Oryza sativa Japonica Group: one gene and its partners. The protein of the gene in region 3 interacts with the protein of the main gene of each other region in a pairwise test. Links are inferred from orthologs where the notes say so. Each region holds a gene or a part of one and is shown on either strand. Other genes may lie near its edges.

Region 1 (4,185 bases), about 10 Mb from region 3:
AAATTTATTAGAGATGGTTTAAGCTCAACATGAACAATACATTTTTGTTAATCTTAAGGTTATTGATCGTGGTGACACCATCAACCCCCATCGACTGGAAGGGGCAAGTGGCTAACAGGGTTTGCAAAAACGTGTAGCAAGAGGCAAGGGGCAAGTTTTTGAAACCATGTTAACCCTCACGGTAACCGCACGGTTACCGTGATAACCGTCTTACGGTGGGGTAGCGATAACCCCACCTAAAATTGTTTGGTGAATCCTGGTGACTAGTCACATATGCCAAACAAATTGAGTTTTGAATCCTAACTCACTTGCTTAGGTACTACTCCCTCCGTACTCATAAAGGAAGTCGTTTAGGATAATGTTTAAGTCAAACCTTGGGAATATAAATCATGAATAACTCTCGAGTTGTGAGTTTGAAAATATAAAAATTATACGAATAGATTTGTCTTGAAAAATACTTTCATAAAAGTATACATATATCACTTTTCAATAAATATTTTTATAGAAAAAAGAAGTCAAATTTATGTTTTGGAGACCGTGTCGCTGTCCTAAACGACTTCCTTTACGAGTACGGATGGAGTATTATTTAACCAGAGGGGGCAAAAGCACATAAGAACCAATAGAAAATCTATCATAGATCAATCTAGCTTATGTTTGTTCTATTCCTAGTGTCATGCACCCATCGAGGCTTGAACACATAACGTTCCTCCACCTCTAGTTAGGTACTTAGGTGTCACAATTGCAACTTCTCGTCATCTGACCTGATCTTCTCAAGCAAATTTTTGATCAATGAGTCATGTATCTTCCTTATCATAACTCGTGGTGTGTTTTTTATGACTGGAAAAAACTGAAAAAGGAAGCTACTTTAGGGCACGTACAATAGAGACACTCGTACTAGTAATCTCAACCTGCCATATAGGATAATACTACACAAAAACCTACCTACAATAAAAACCACTTCTTACTTTCTTAGTATATTTTATATTTCAGAACTGATAATCTACGTGTCGGCTCTTATGATATTTAATTTATATTATGATATCAATTGGAGTTTGTATTATGGATCCTATAATAACAAAAAAAAAGTACATATATACCCTTAAAAGTTAAAATATAGCGAACCCACCTATCAACTGAGTACCCACGTAAATTTTCACCCCAAGGTTAAAGTGAAAAAAATAAGTAAAAAGGAGAACGCGATCTCTCCTCATCCGCCGCCGCCGCGCCCCAATCCTCCTGTGTCGCTGCGATGGTTAACTACCACTCCGATGTGGAGAGCGAGCGACGCGGTTAGATTCTAAGCCTATCCGGTCCGCGAAAATAGAAAAAAGAGGAGGGAAAGGGAGAATGAATCTGTTGCTTCTCTCTCTCTCTTTTCCACCAGACCAGCTGAGCTGAGCCACCACCTCCTCGATATATTCCCCGCAAGCCCACACCTTCCTCTCAATTTCTCCCATTCTCCACTCCACACCCGTCCCGTCTGCATCTACCCGCCACTTCCTCCTCCTCCTCCGCCTCTCAGCTTCTGCTCTTCCTTGTTCTTTGGCCCGCGAGCTGATATCTGCAGTTTGCAACCGAGAAGAGAAAAAAAACGAACCGGGTTTTTTTTTAGGTAAGCGAATCGCGCTCAGGTTTCGTCTGGTTTTTGCGTTCTGTTGCAGGGGGTGCGCGACCTGTTCTAGTGATCTTCCCTATTTCGCGTGCTGCTTCTTGTTGATCCGTGTTGTGCGCTGCGCAGGTCGGCGGGCGGCTAAAGAAAGAAGGGAGCTTTTTGGGTAAAAATTTAGTCTTGTTTTTTTTTCCTTCGCTGGTTGGGGTTGGGGTTTTCAGGGATGGGGGGAAAGGAGGGGCTGCGTCAACTGGCCCGATTCCCATCGCTCTGAACTTGATGGATGCATCTGTGAGTAATCGTATCGTCTGCGCTGTGCGCATGTTCCTTCTTGTTGATTCTCTTCTATCTGTTTCTTCTTTCTTCTCTTATCTGTGTTGTTCGGGGGGTGTTGTGTGTAGGTGAACGCCAAGAAGATTAGTTTCTGTGGGAACACTGGTCATAGCCGCTGTGGTGAAGTTCATCGACCTGCCTGGCCCTGTCGTATGCGGGATCACTCCTTGAACAGAAGCAACCCCTTCTTACTTCAGGTTGTTGCTACCGGCCTAATCTGTCTCTAATCCCTCCGCTCGAGTTCTGTTGCCGTATGTGGTTCCTTAGTTTCTGTTTCCTGATGAAGTTCTTGATTGATTTGGTGGTGGGAGACAAGAAAATTTTAAGAGTAGATCTCATTGAAATTTATGTTATGTGGGTTGTGTCCTCATTTTTCAAGAACTTTGCAAACTGTGCCTGCCATGTTTGGTAGCTTATGAAAATAAAATTCTGATATGTATAAAATGATGCCGTCTATATTTAACAAGGTACAGTCTTGTATAATTAATCTAAAATTGTTGTTGCAGTCATGTAAAAATTTAGGGGATAATATTACCAGTTGCAAATGTCAAACTACTGGGGCGTCTCATCGATTCCTTCCCTGCTTATATTTTGGATGGAAGGATAGTCAAACTAAGGACTAATAGTATTATGCTCAGGGGCAGTTGACGGAAACCATGTTATTCATCAAAGATTCGAGAAGCAATCTTGTTCACATACCTATCAATTACACCTCCTGTACACAACTCTATCACGTTGGACTAGAAAGCTAGAATACATTATGGAGGAAGTCATTCGACCAATTCTAACTTTACCCCTGTATAATTGAATCTGATCCATTAGATCAAAAGTAATGGATGGCTCATATCCATTATAGGGTACTCTAAAGAAACTATAAATTTTGATGAAATATTTCTTTGTTTGGCAACGCTTTGCCGTCTTTATTCTCTACAGTTCAACCATGCTCAGACCGTACTTATATAAATAATGCTTTGTGTTAAAATTGCAGGTCTGGTTTGCGTTTCCATTTAAGTATAAAAGGACCTGTATTTGGCATGGGCTTTAAGTAGCATTTAAACCTTCAAAGCATAGTTTGACAGCAATATACACTACAATCGGTGTTATACTTCTGTTGAAAAAGATGGTGGATGAGGAACTGTTTGATAAGAGCTCCAATGATCACAGCATCAGTTCTGAGGAAGAAGACATGCTTGTCAGGAGTTATAGCAATCTCAACGTCAGCTTTGGATACCATTGTAATTCTTATCAGTGTTTTTCTCTAGACACTGATGAGTATGACATCTCTCCCAACAAGAGGCTTGAAACTAATACCATGATGACATCACAAAATGGATCCTTCACTTGTTTGTCTGGTGCTGCGATTAGTGCCAATTTCACGCTGGCCAATACAAACATTTGCAAGGGTCTTATCGGGGAAGAAATTTTACCAGAACTAGACTCTCCTAATTCTTTCAGAAAAATTGTTTCATCCCCATCAATGTCAAGATTGGACTTGTTATCCACCTCACAAGGCAGCCCTGTATCGACTGAGAGCTCTATATTTGAAATCAGTAAAAATATCTGGAGGTCCAGTGCCCCAACTACTGTCTCATCCAATTTTCTGACAAGTACAGAGATAAAAATGGCTGGTGGAGCTGCTGGAGAGGATAGAGTCCAAGCTGTGTGCTCTGAGAAGAATGGATGGTTGATTTGTGGAATATATGATGGATTTAATGGACGAGATGCAGCTGACTTTTTGGCAGTAACTTTATATGATAATATAGTATATTACCTATATTTGTTAGAGTGCCGGATTAAACAAGAAAATGGTCTATATGGTTCACCAGAGGGCTCTCTTAATGGTGTTAAAAGTGAGTTAACACTGGCCATGAGATTTGCAGAAAATGAAGATGTGAAATTTTCTGAAACATTTCGAGCTGGTGTGCTTAAGTGCCTCACTACTGCTGTTGAGCAAGCTGAAAATGACTTTTTATGCATGGTTGAACAAGAGATGGACGATAGACCAGATTTAGTATCAGTTGGGTCTTGTGTTCTGGTTGTGCTTCTACATGGAACAGATTTGTGCATCTTAAATCTTGGGGATAGTAGAGCTGTGCTTGCTTCAGTGCCGTCTTCAGGAATGGATAAATTGAAGGCTGTTCAATTGACTGAGATCCACTCACTTGAAAATCCATTGGAGTACCAAAAACTTTTAGCTGATCATCCTAATGAGCCATCAGTTGTGATGGGTAACAAAATAAAGG
Region 2 (3,963 bases), on a different chromosome or scaffold from region 3:
AACTGGACAAGCCTCCTGAGAAAAGTACATATTATTCTGAAAACTTTTACATGCATATGGCTGGTCTCATGCATCATTAGTCATTGGAACCTTGAAAGAACCATTTAGCAGTTTGAAATCATTCTCAAGGTGACTTCTGCGAAGGTAAAGAAAACTGAATGTGGAACATGCTAGTCCCAGATCATGGCATGAAACAAGCCATCAGAAAAGGTTTGAAGATGCTAAAGGTTATACAGTATCTGGCATAGACCTAAATATAGTTGTGTACCATACTGTGATGTGACAATGATTCCTATGAAAGTCGGGCCCTTTGATTCAAAGGAAATTTATAGGAATTTCAGAGGGTTTCATTCCTATAGGATTTTTTTTCCTATATAACCTTTGAATAAAAGGAATAAATCCTACGAAATTCCTATGGAATGCATGTTCCCATACAAGTTTTGGAGGAAATTTAGGGCCCCTTGGAATCGCAGGAATGAGAAAACATAGGAATAGGAAAAACGCAGGATTTTGATAGGAATGTAAGTGTAAAACAGAGGATTGCAAAACACAGGAAAAACACAGGAATGGTCGTTTGATTAGACCGCAGGAAAAACACAGGAATTAGAGGAGAGATAAAGACTCAAAGGAAAGTTTCCAAGAGGTTTTACCTCATGTTAGAATTCCTCCAAAACTTGCATGGCATTAGGCAATCCATAGGAATTTCATGGATTCCATAAGATCCATTCCTTTGATTCAAAGGGCTATATAGGAAAAATTCCTATAGGAATAAAATTCTCTAAAATTCCTATGAATTTCCTTTGAACCAAAGGGGGCCTTAACATGAGGTAGAACCTCATGAAAAGAATCCTTTGTCTTTCTCTCCTCAAATTCCTATGTTTTTCCTGCGATCCAATCAAACGGTCATTCCTATATTTTTCCTGTGTTTTGCAATCCTCTGTTTTACACTTGTATTCCTGTCCAAATCCTATGTTTTTCCTATTCCTCCTTTTTTTTTCATTCTAGTGATTCAAATGGGCCCTTAATGATTTCAGAATACACCAAATTGACCATCACAACAACGGAGATCAAGGAGGAACAATAGATAGAACAGAATAGCAGGAAAAGAAAAGGAACAAATGAAAATGAGAATGGAACAAAAGAAAAAGGCAGCGTGAATGTGGTACCAATGCTGAGCAGGCATGGCAACTGAAATAGTGACAGAAAAAAGTATGGCTAAAACCCAATGTGGCAAACACATCTTCCAAGCTAAAATATCATGTCTTGGAACATGGAAACAATGCAATGTCACAATATTGACATGAACAAACAGTACCAGCACAACCTCTTGTGTCATTTAGGGCTATTTGATTTAAGGTTTGGCCTGCTACAGGATATATGGGCCCATTGCATGGCCATCCTATGATTTTTATGCCATGGCCTTATTGCTCATCATGCATTGGCATTGTAGCCATGTGAAGTTGGCATGGTAAAAGACAGATACTTTATATTTGTAAACCAAGCAATATTAGGTTTGTAGAACTAGGCCACTTCAAAATTGCATAAATTAAGCAGCGTCATTGTAATGCGGTGATACGTAGGTGCTTACAAATAAGCTTGCACATGATCAATCCTAAGAGTCATCTTTTCACTCCTCGGAAAAGAGTTGGGCAATGATGGCATGTTCCACACCCATCCCCCATCAAAACATTCTGTGACTATAACATAGATATCTGTGGATATGCATGAGATAATTGCAGCATATTTTTGTAGGAAAAATAACCCTATCCATGTGTGTGTGTTTTGGCTAATCTCATGCTGTCATCTATATAGTTTTCAAAACATGTGGATAACTATTTCACTACTGTATATATCGGTATATTATTTCGCATCTGTCACCACAGACATGCACTTACTAAATTACTAGTCTCCTGAGAACCCGAATGCATATACAGTAAAGTGCAGATGTATTTACCAAATCCTCCCAGAAACGACCAGAGACGGTCTTCTTAAACCTTATGATCCACTTGCCACCGCTCCTATTTGCGGGATCCTGCTCAACCAAACTCCGTCAACAACTAGAAGCATAACAGAGATAACTCTAAACAAAACACAACCACATAGAACAACACGGTTTACTGACTACTGAGGAGTACCTCCCAGAGGGGCCGGATGCCCTCCTTGAAAAGATGCAGGTCGGTGGGGCTCGGCAGGCTAACCGGCCGCGTGAGGTGGCAGTAGCAAACCCAGAACGACTCAACCTACATACAGGACACCCAAACAGCATCAGCAATCCAATCTGCAGCCCTGAAATTAGAGAATCCCCACCAAAAGAAATTCGCGGTGACGTACAGTGCTGAAGTCGACGATCTTCTTGATGTTGTCCTCGTAGGACTGCGACCTCGCCCCAGGAGTCCGGCGCGTGTACCATAGCACGAATCTACGCTGCGGGTGCACAGGTAAAAAAAAAACAAAGGAACACGGGTTACTTACATACATCTATCTACTCGATCTCAACCTCCAGGCGCGCTGGAGAAACAACTTTTCCTCTTTCCGGGAGGGAAATAGAAGCTGGATCTAGCGGCGGCGGAGGAGTACTTACCCTAAGGGGATGGAAGCCGGCCTTGAGCTCGCGGTTGCGGCGCTCGTTCTCCTCCGCCTCAGCCTCGTCGTCGTCGGCGGAAGGGACGGCGGGCTCGTCGTGCTGCTGCTGCAGCTCCTCCTGCTCGGCCTCCCTCTTCTCCGCCGCCGGCTCCATGGCGCGCCCTGCTGCGGCGATTTGGTCCGCTGGGGTGTTTGGTCAGTGGAGTCGAGAAGGATGGTTGATGGGAGTTGGGAACTGGGAATGGAACTCGTGGGGGACGCGGAAATATCGGAAAGTGGCCTACTGGGCTTGTGGGTTTCGGCCTTTTGGGCTTTTTCAGGAGTAAACGGTGTTTGTCTTTTCTTTTTTTTTTTGTTTGATGGACTGAACTCGCTAAAATGTCATGGTTGTCGTCTCGCTCTGTGCCTCCGTGGAATTTTGTAGAGAGCATTTTAATTTTAAGAGACAATTTAAGAAATGTCATTAACAAGCGTCCAAATTTAAGAAATATCATCGACAAGCGTGAGTTTGCCATCGTACGAACGACTTTATTCTAAAAATAACATCGTCGTTAGAGTTCCGCACATCTCGTGTCGTTAAATATATTGTTCATCCTATATCACTTAACAGCATGGGATAGAGGAACCCTAACGGCAATGGCATTTTTGGGACAAAATTATTCATACGATGGCATTTCTTGTATTTTGACATTTGTCAATGACATTTCTTAGATTATCTAATTTTAAAGGATAACCGATAATTACTTACATTCACAAGTACATGTGTGTGTAAAAAAATTGTACTCTTATTTTATATTTCAAATGCTTTTACGCGATATTAGTTTTATAGCTCGGACGCCTCCCGCGCGCGCGTGTTGCTTCCACCACGCGCGCTCCGTTGCAACATCTGCCCGGATATAACAGAAACATCCTATTAGGGGGGATCCATTTCATTTTTTTTCCACCGACAATGTTTCAGCTAGTGTACTCGCGATGTTTCACTATGTATGGATGAAATGTTGCAGTGGATTTTTTATAATGTTTTAATAATTTCATCTTGATGGACACATGGTTATTGATGTACACAGGGTTTAAGTGTTGAAATGGCTTTAAATCGTTTGTTGCATACGTTGAACCAAATTGTTTCATCTAGCGATCTGACTGTATTTCACTTTTTTAAAAAATTGAAACATTCTTTCACTATTTGCTGAAACATTGTTTTTATATAGGGTAAAACAACGCCTATTTTTTTAGAAACCGTTGTTTCATACGTTGTAGCAAAATGTTTCATGAGGTGATTTGGTTGTATTTCAGTCTTTTACAAGATTAAAATATTTTTAATCTACTTAGTGAAACATTTTCGGTCTACTTAGTAAAATAGTGCCTGATTTTTTATTTTTT
Region 3 (4,228 bases):
AGAGCTAGTAGCATGTAGTAGTACACTCTATATACTGCAGTACTGATGGCAAAGTAGCAGGTGTAAATTCGATCCAGGAGTAGCATGTACGAGAAGAAGTTTAGATCAAGACGAAGAAGAAGAAGGGACAGACGGGTACCTGTGAGGTGAGGGACTTGACGGCATCTCTGCCGTGAGGCGTGGCCGCGCCACGGGACCCGTCCTCCCCGCCTTCCTTGGAGGAGCACGCGATGCATGCCAGCATCTTCTCTGACCCCCTCTCCCTATCTGCCTCCCTCTCCTCGATCGACGACGACGAGACGGATCAATCAGTAGTCAATCGCTCCCCCCACAATCTCACCTTGTGTATCGAACTGCAAAAGTGTGTGCATTAGCGTTACATATATAGTACTACCACAGTACGGCTATCTATCAGAATTGAAGCCGCTGTAACGAAAGATCAAGTTTGATCAGACATGCCGTCATGTAGACACTACAGCCCACGGCTACAGTTGCATGCATGCATGTGATAGAATGTCTATCCATGAGATGGTCAAACTTTGTCGTTGTTCGCATGGCAATAGTACACTTAGTACATGTATAGTACACATTTCCATGATAATTAAACGAGTGCGAGATTTCGTGTATCCACGCACACGTATGTACGACCAAAATAAATACACGCCGAAAGTACGTACTCCTATCAAGTATCAACAGTGACACTATCAGTCTAGTATCCTCTAGCCATAGCCACAATCTACAATGTACTGTAATAACGTAAAGCGGTTTCCAAGCCGGTGTGTGACGCCATTCTAGTACCACACACCATTTGGACCAGACGTGCCATGCCATCCTTGCATCTCACATGTAAGCACGCGAACACGACATCCGGTACACTATGCGAGCACAGAGCTATCCGGCCGGTCCGTGACCACGCACACGTGCGCATGCGTGTGCGTCGGAGGAGCTGTCCTTCCGGCTCGTTGAGCAACAGAGAGCAATGCAAGCATGCGTATGTACGAGAGATAGCTATAGCTAGGGACTCTGGTCTCTGGAGCTTCAATTCGCCACCGGCGTCAAAACGGGGCAAGCTGGCTGGCTAGCTGGTGCAGTGGAGCACTGGAGCCTGCAGCGACAAAAAAGTATAGCACCAGCATAACAAAGCAAGCAAGACCCATGCCAATGGCAGCATCACAGTCGTTCACAGCTACTCCTGCATGCATGGCATGCATTCGCAGGCTGCTCTAACACAGTGGAAGAAACGCTACGCGGGGCAAAGCAGATCGATCGACGGGCACAGGCACAGAGATTCTTTAATCGCCATGCCACATGACACACACACATATACTACTAGTAAATCAAAACTGAAAAGCAGGTTGTAGTAGTAAAATACGGTCAGCTACATTGCGGCAGGGAAGCTTCTGATGTTTACGCGCACATGGAAATTTATTAACCACCAGTGTGCTATGGCTAGCTAGCTCCGCCCGTTTGTGTATGTGTTGTGCACAGTGTTCATGCAGATGAGGCGCAGCTACCCACGCGAGGTAGGCAGGGGCGTATGGGGAAGACTCCAAACGACACCAACAGCAGTAGCTCGGTGGACGAGGCAGGGAGCCGCTCAGATGTGTATCAGCTACAGTCACTGCAGCTGGGGCCCCACGCCCTCCCCCAGATCAACGTACTGCCTGGACTTTATTTTTTTTTTCCTCCTGCTCCATCCCTACCGAGAAAAATATGGGCCCCGGCTAAAGCGACCGGCTATCGAGTGACTGCATTGTGGAGCCCGGTAGGGTTTTTGCTGATTATCTTTTGCGCTTTTTTAATAGAAACACGACGTGATAACCTTAAACACGGTATTGTGTGTGTTTTCTTTTGGCCGGTGGTAGTAATTTCTTTTGTACAGTAGTAGTATCAGCTAGTAATTAATTAATGTTGCTGTAGAGGGAGAGAGAAATGAGAGGCACAGTGAGAGTGATGAGATGATGCTTACAGGTAACTGACGGCCCCCAGATAGCTACGTTAGCCACAGCTCTCTCTCTCCTCCGAGTTTGCTCGCCGTGTAAACAGTGTGCGTACCCAAACCACCTACGCGCGCGCTGACCGGGTTGCTCCGCCTCCTCTTCCTCTCTCTCCGGCGCCTGAAATGATGCAGACAAAAATGTGCCAAAATAAATATGTATACGCCTAGAAGCGAGAGCGGGATGCAAGGAGAAACGGCCTTTTATTTTTGACACCAAGATAAACGGACTTTGACTTTCTGGTGAACAGAACAGGGTAAGAAACGGCATGCAAGACGAGAAAACAAAACATAGAAAAAGTGTAACTCAACACACACACACACAAAAAAAAAGCAAAGCAAAGATAAGACGAAGCATCAAGCAAGCTGGTTGCGTGCGTCGCCGTCACCACCATTACCTTCTCCTCCACGTCGCCGGTGAGCGAACGAGCGCAATTTGCAGCCCGCCGGTCGGCTTCACCTTCGCCGCCCTTTCGGTTTCGAGCTCTGCCTCTGAATCGACTCAGAAGCCTTTGGAGATAGCACAGAGAGAAAGGCCTCCCTTGTCTGGTCGAGGAGTGGATGCGGCTGCGTCAATGGCGCCAAACACAGCGGCGGCAAAGATATCAGAAGCTACGCAGCGACGCTGTCGCCGCACAGAAACAATCTGGGACTGAGTGGGAGATTCCTCTCGCAGTCGCAGGAGAGAAGAGCCACGAAGCGAGAGAGAGAGATCGAGGTGGGGAGGGAGAGAACACTGCGGGCGTCGCGCTGGGCCGTCGGATCCTTCCCCCATATACGACGAGAGGGCGCCGAGTGCACAGGCAGTGCAAGCCGTCTCGTTTCCGGCCCATATATAGTCCCTCCCCCACGGGACACGCGGCGGTCCCCGCGAGATCGCGGCCGTCCGATCCTGCGCGGCGTGTGGTCATCTCCCTGGTCCTGGGCTGGGCCCCACCTACGGTGATTCGCTGCGGGGCCCGCGAAGGCCCGGGCCCCGGCACGGACCGTGGCGATGACGAACGTGCTGCCGTGGCGCGATCAGGACCGTGCGATGTGATGCATATGCTGACGGGGCTTTGTCATGATCGAGGACCGTCCGATCTTGATGGCGCAAAGTACGTCAGCGTGTGCTTGCAAGCCCAATAGGCGAGTAGCCCATAGCGACTGACGGAGCGTGGGGCTCCTCACCGGGAGACCGCGCTGGTCCCCTTTTGCCGGTTCGGCCGGGGACCCTGGGTGAGACTCTAAGCTCCCAATTTGTGGAAGGTTCGCGAGACAGGAAACACACAAGACGCCGGCGATGTATACAGGTTCGGGCCGCTGAGAAGCGTAATACCCTACTCCTGTGTTTTGGAGGATCTGTGTATGAAGGAGCTACAAAGTATGAGCCAGCCTCTCTCTTGTTCTGGGTTCCCAATCTGGAAAAGTCCAATCATCCCCCCTCTAAGTGGGCAAGGTCCTCCTTTTATATCTTAAGGGGATACCACATGCACCATCTCCCCCTCTCTTTCTTCCAATTTGACTTCTCTTCATTAACAGACGGAGATTTGCATCGCCGCCGTCCGAATGACCTTCTGATGGGACGGCCCATACCTACCTCCACTTCCGCCGGAGGCAGGCGCGACGTGGGAAGATGGCTGTCTGCTGATGACTTGACCATTGTCAGACCGGTCACAAATCGGTCATTCTTGTCCACCACGTGTCAGTTTAACAATCTGCATGTTCGCCCTTCTTCATACAATATCTTGCCTGTAATGGTTAGGATGAAGCCTGGCATATATCTGACCGGAACCAACGTGCCATCTCCAGGAGCTAACACGCCGGCTCCAGCTAGGGACGAGTGCTTGGAGGCTCTCGTCCTGACGGGATGGGGCGAGGCGTGCGTCAGACCGCCTGTCGCCACCTAACCCATGATCTGACCGGTCTGTGACTGGTCACAGACCGGATAAACGAGCGTGCTGTACTGCGATACAGGCGGCGTGACGCGCTCGTCAAAACTGCAATAAATGTGGTTAGGTGAGCCCCGCCATGCTCACCTACCCCATATACGTGGCGCAAAACCCACAAGGGGTCGGGGCGCTTCGGCCCTCGGGGCCGAGACGGGAGCGGCCCGACCCCTTGGGGAGACAAAGAGAAGGGCAGCCGTATCACCCTCGGGCCCGCCCCCCCCCCCCCCCCGAGGGAGTTAGGCCACGTGGGTGATCGTGTCTGCCTCAAGTCTCTAAGTCATGATACTCCCGGTAAAGAGGA

Evidence for each region.
Region 1: the proteins of putative protein Brevis radix-like 3 (region 3) and probable protein phosphatase 2C 39 interact in binary tests that used the Arabidopsis thaliana proteins (3 or more experiments, as listed by UniProt). The link is inferred for Oryza sativa Japonica Group from reciprocal best matches to the Arabidopsis thaliana genes BRX and AT3G16560.
Region 2: the proteins of putative protein Brevis radix-like 3 (region 3) and eukaryotic translation initiation factor NCBP interact in binary tests that used the Arabidopsis thaliana proteins (3 or more experiments, as listed by UniProt). The link is inferred for Oryza sativa Japonica Group from reciprocal best matches to the Arabidopsis thaliana genes BRX and NCBP.

What each region holds. Positions count from the first base shown.
Region 1 is NC_089038.1:20,390,173-20,394,357, reverse strand, and holds the start of probable protein phosphatase 2C 39, read left to right. Parts: upstream 1-1,358; 5' UTR 1,359-1,612; intron 1,613-1,738; 5' UTR 1,739-1,900; intron 1,901-2,010; 5' UTR 2,011-2,139; exon of another isoform or gene 2,140-2,142; intron 2,143-2,930; 5' UTR 2,931-3,062; coding exon 3,063-4,185.
Region 2 is NC_089037.1:8,647,975-8,651,937, forward strand, and holds the start of eukaryotic translation initiation factor NCBP, read right to left. Parts: upstream 2,823-3,963; 5' UTR 2,738-2,822; coding exon 2,582-2,737; intron 2,425-2,581; coding exon 2,332-2,424; intron 2,241-2,331; coding exon 2,136-2,240; intron 2,033-2,135; coding exon 1,955-2,032; intron 1-1,954. UniProt on the Arabidopsis thaliana protein: Recognizes and binds the 7-methylguanosine-containing mRNA cap during an early step in the initiation of protein synthesis and facilitates ribosome binding by inducing the unwinding of the mRNAs secondary structures.
Region 3 is NC_089038.1:30,809,022-30,813,249, forward strand, and holds the start of putative protein Brevis radix-like 3, read right to left. Parts: upstream 2,802-4,228; 5' UTR 2,395-2,801; intron 2,118-2,394; 5' UTR 1,970-2,117; intron 354-1,969; 5' UTR 245-353; coding exon 140-244; intron 1-139. UniProt on the Arabidopsis thaliana protein: Acts as a regulator of cell proliferation and elongation in the root and shoot. Regulates roots architecture and primary root protophloem differentiation.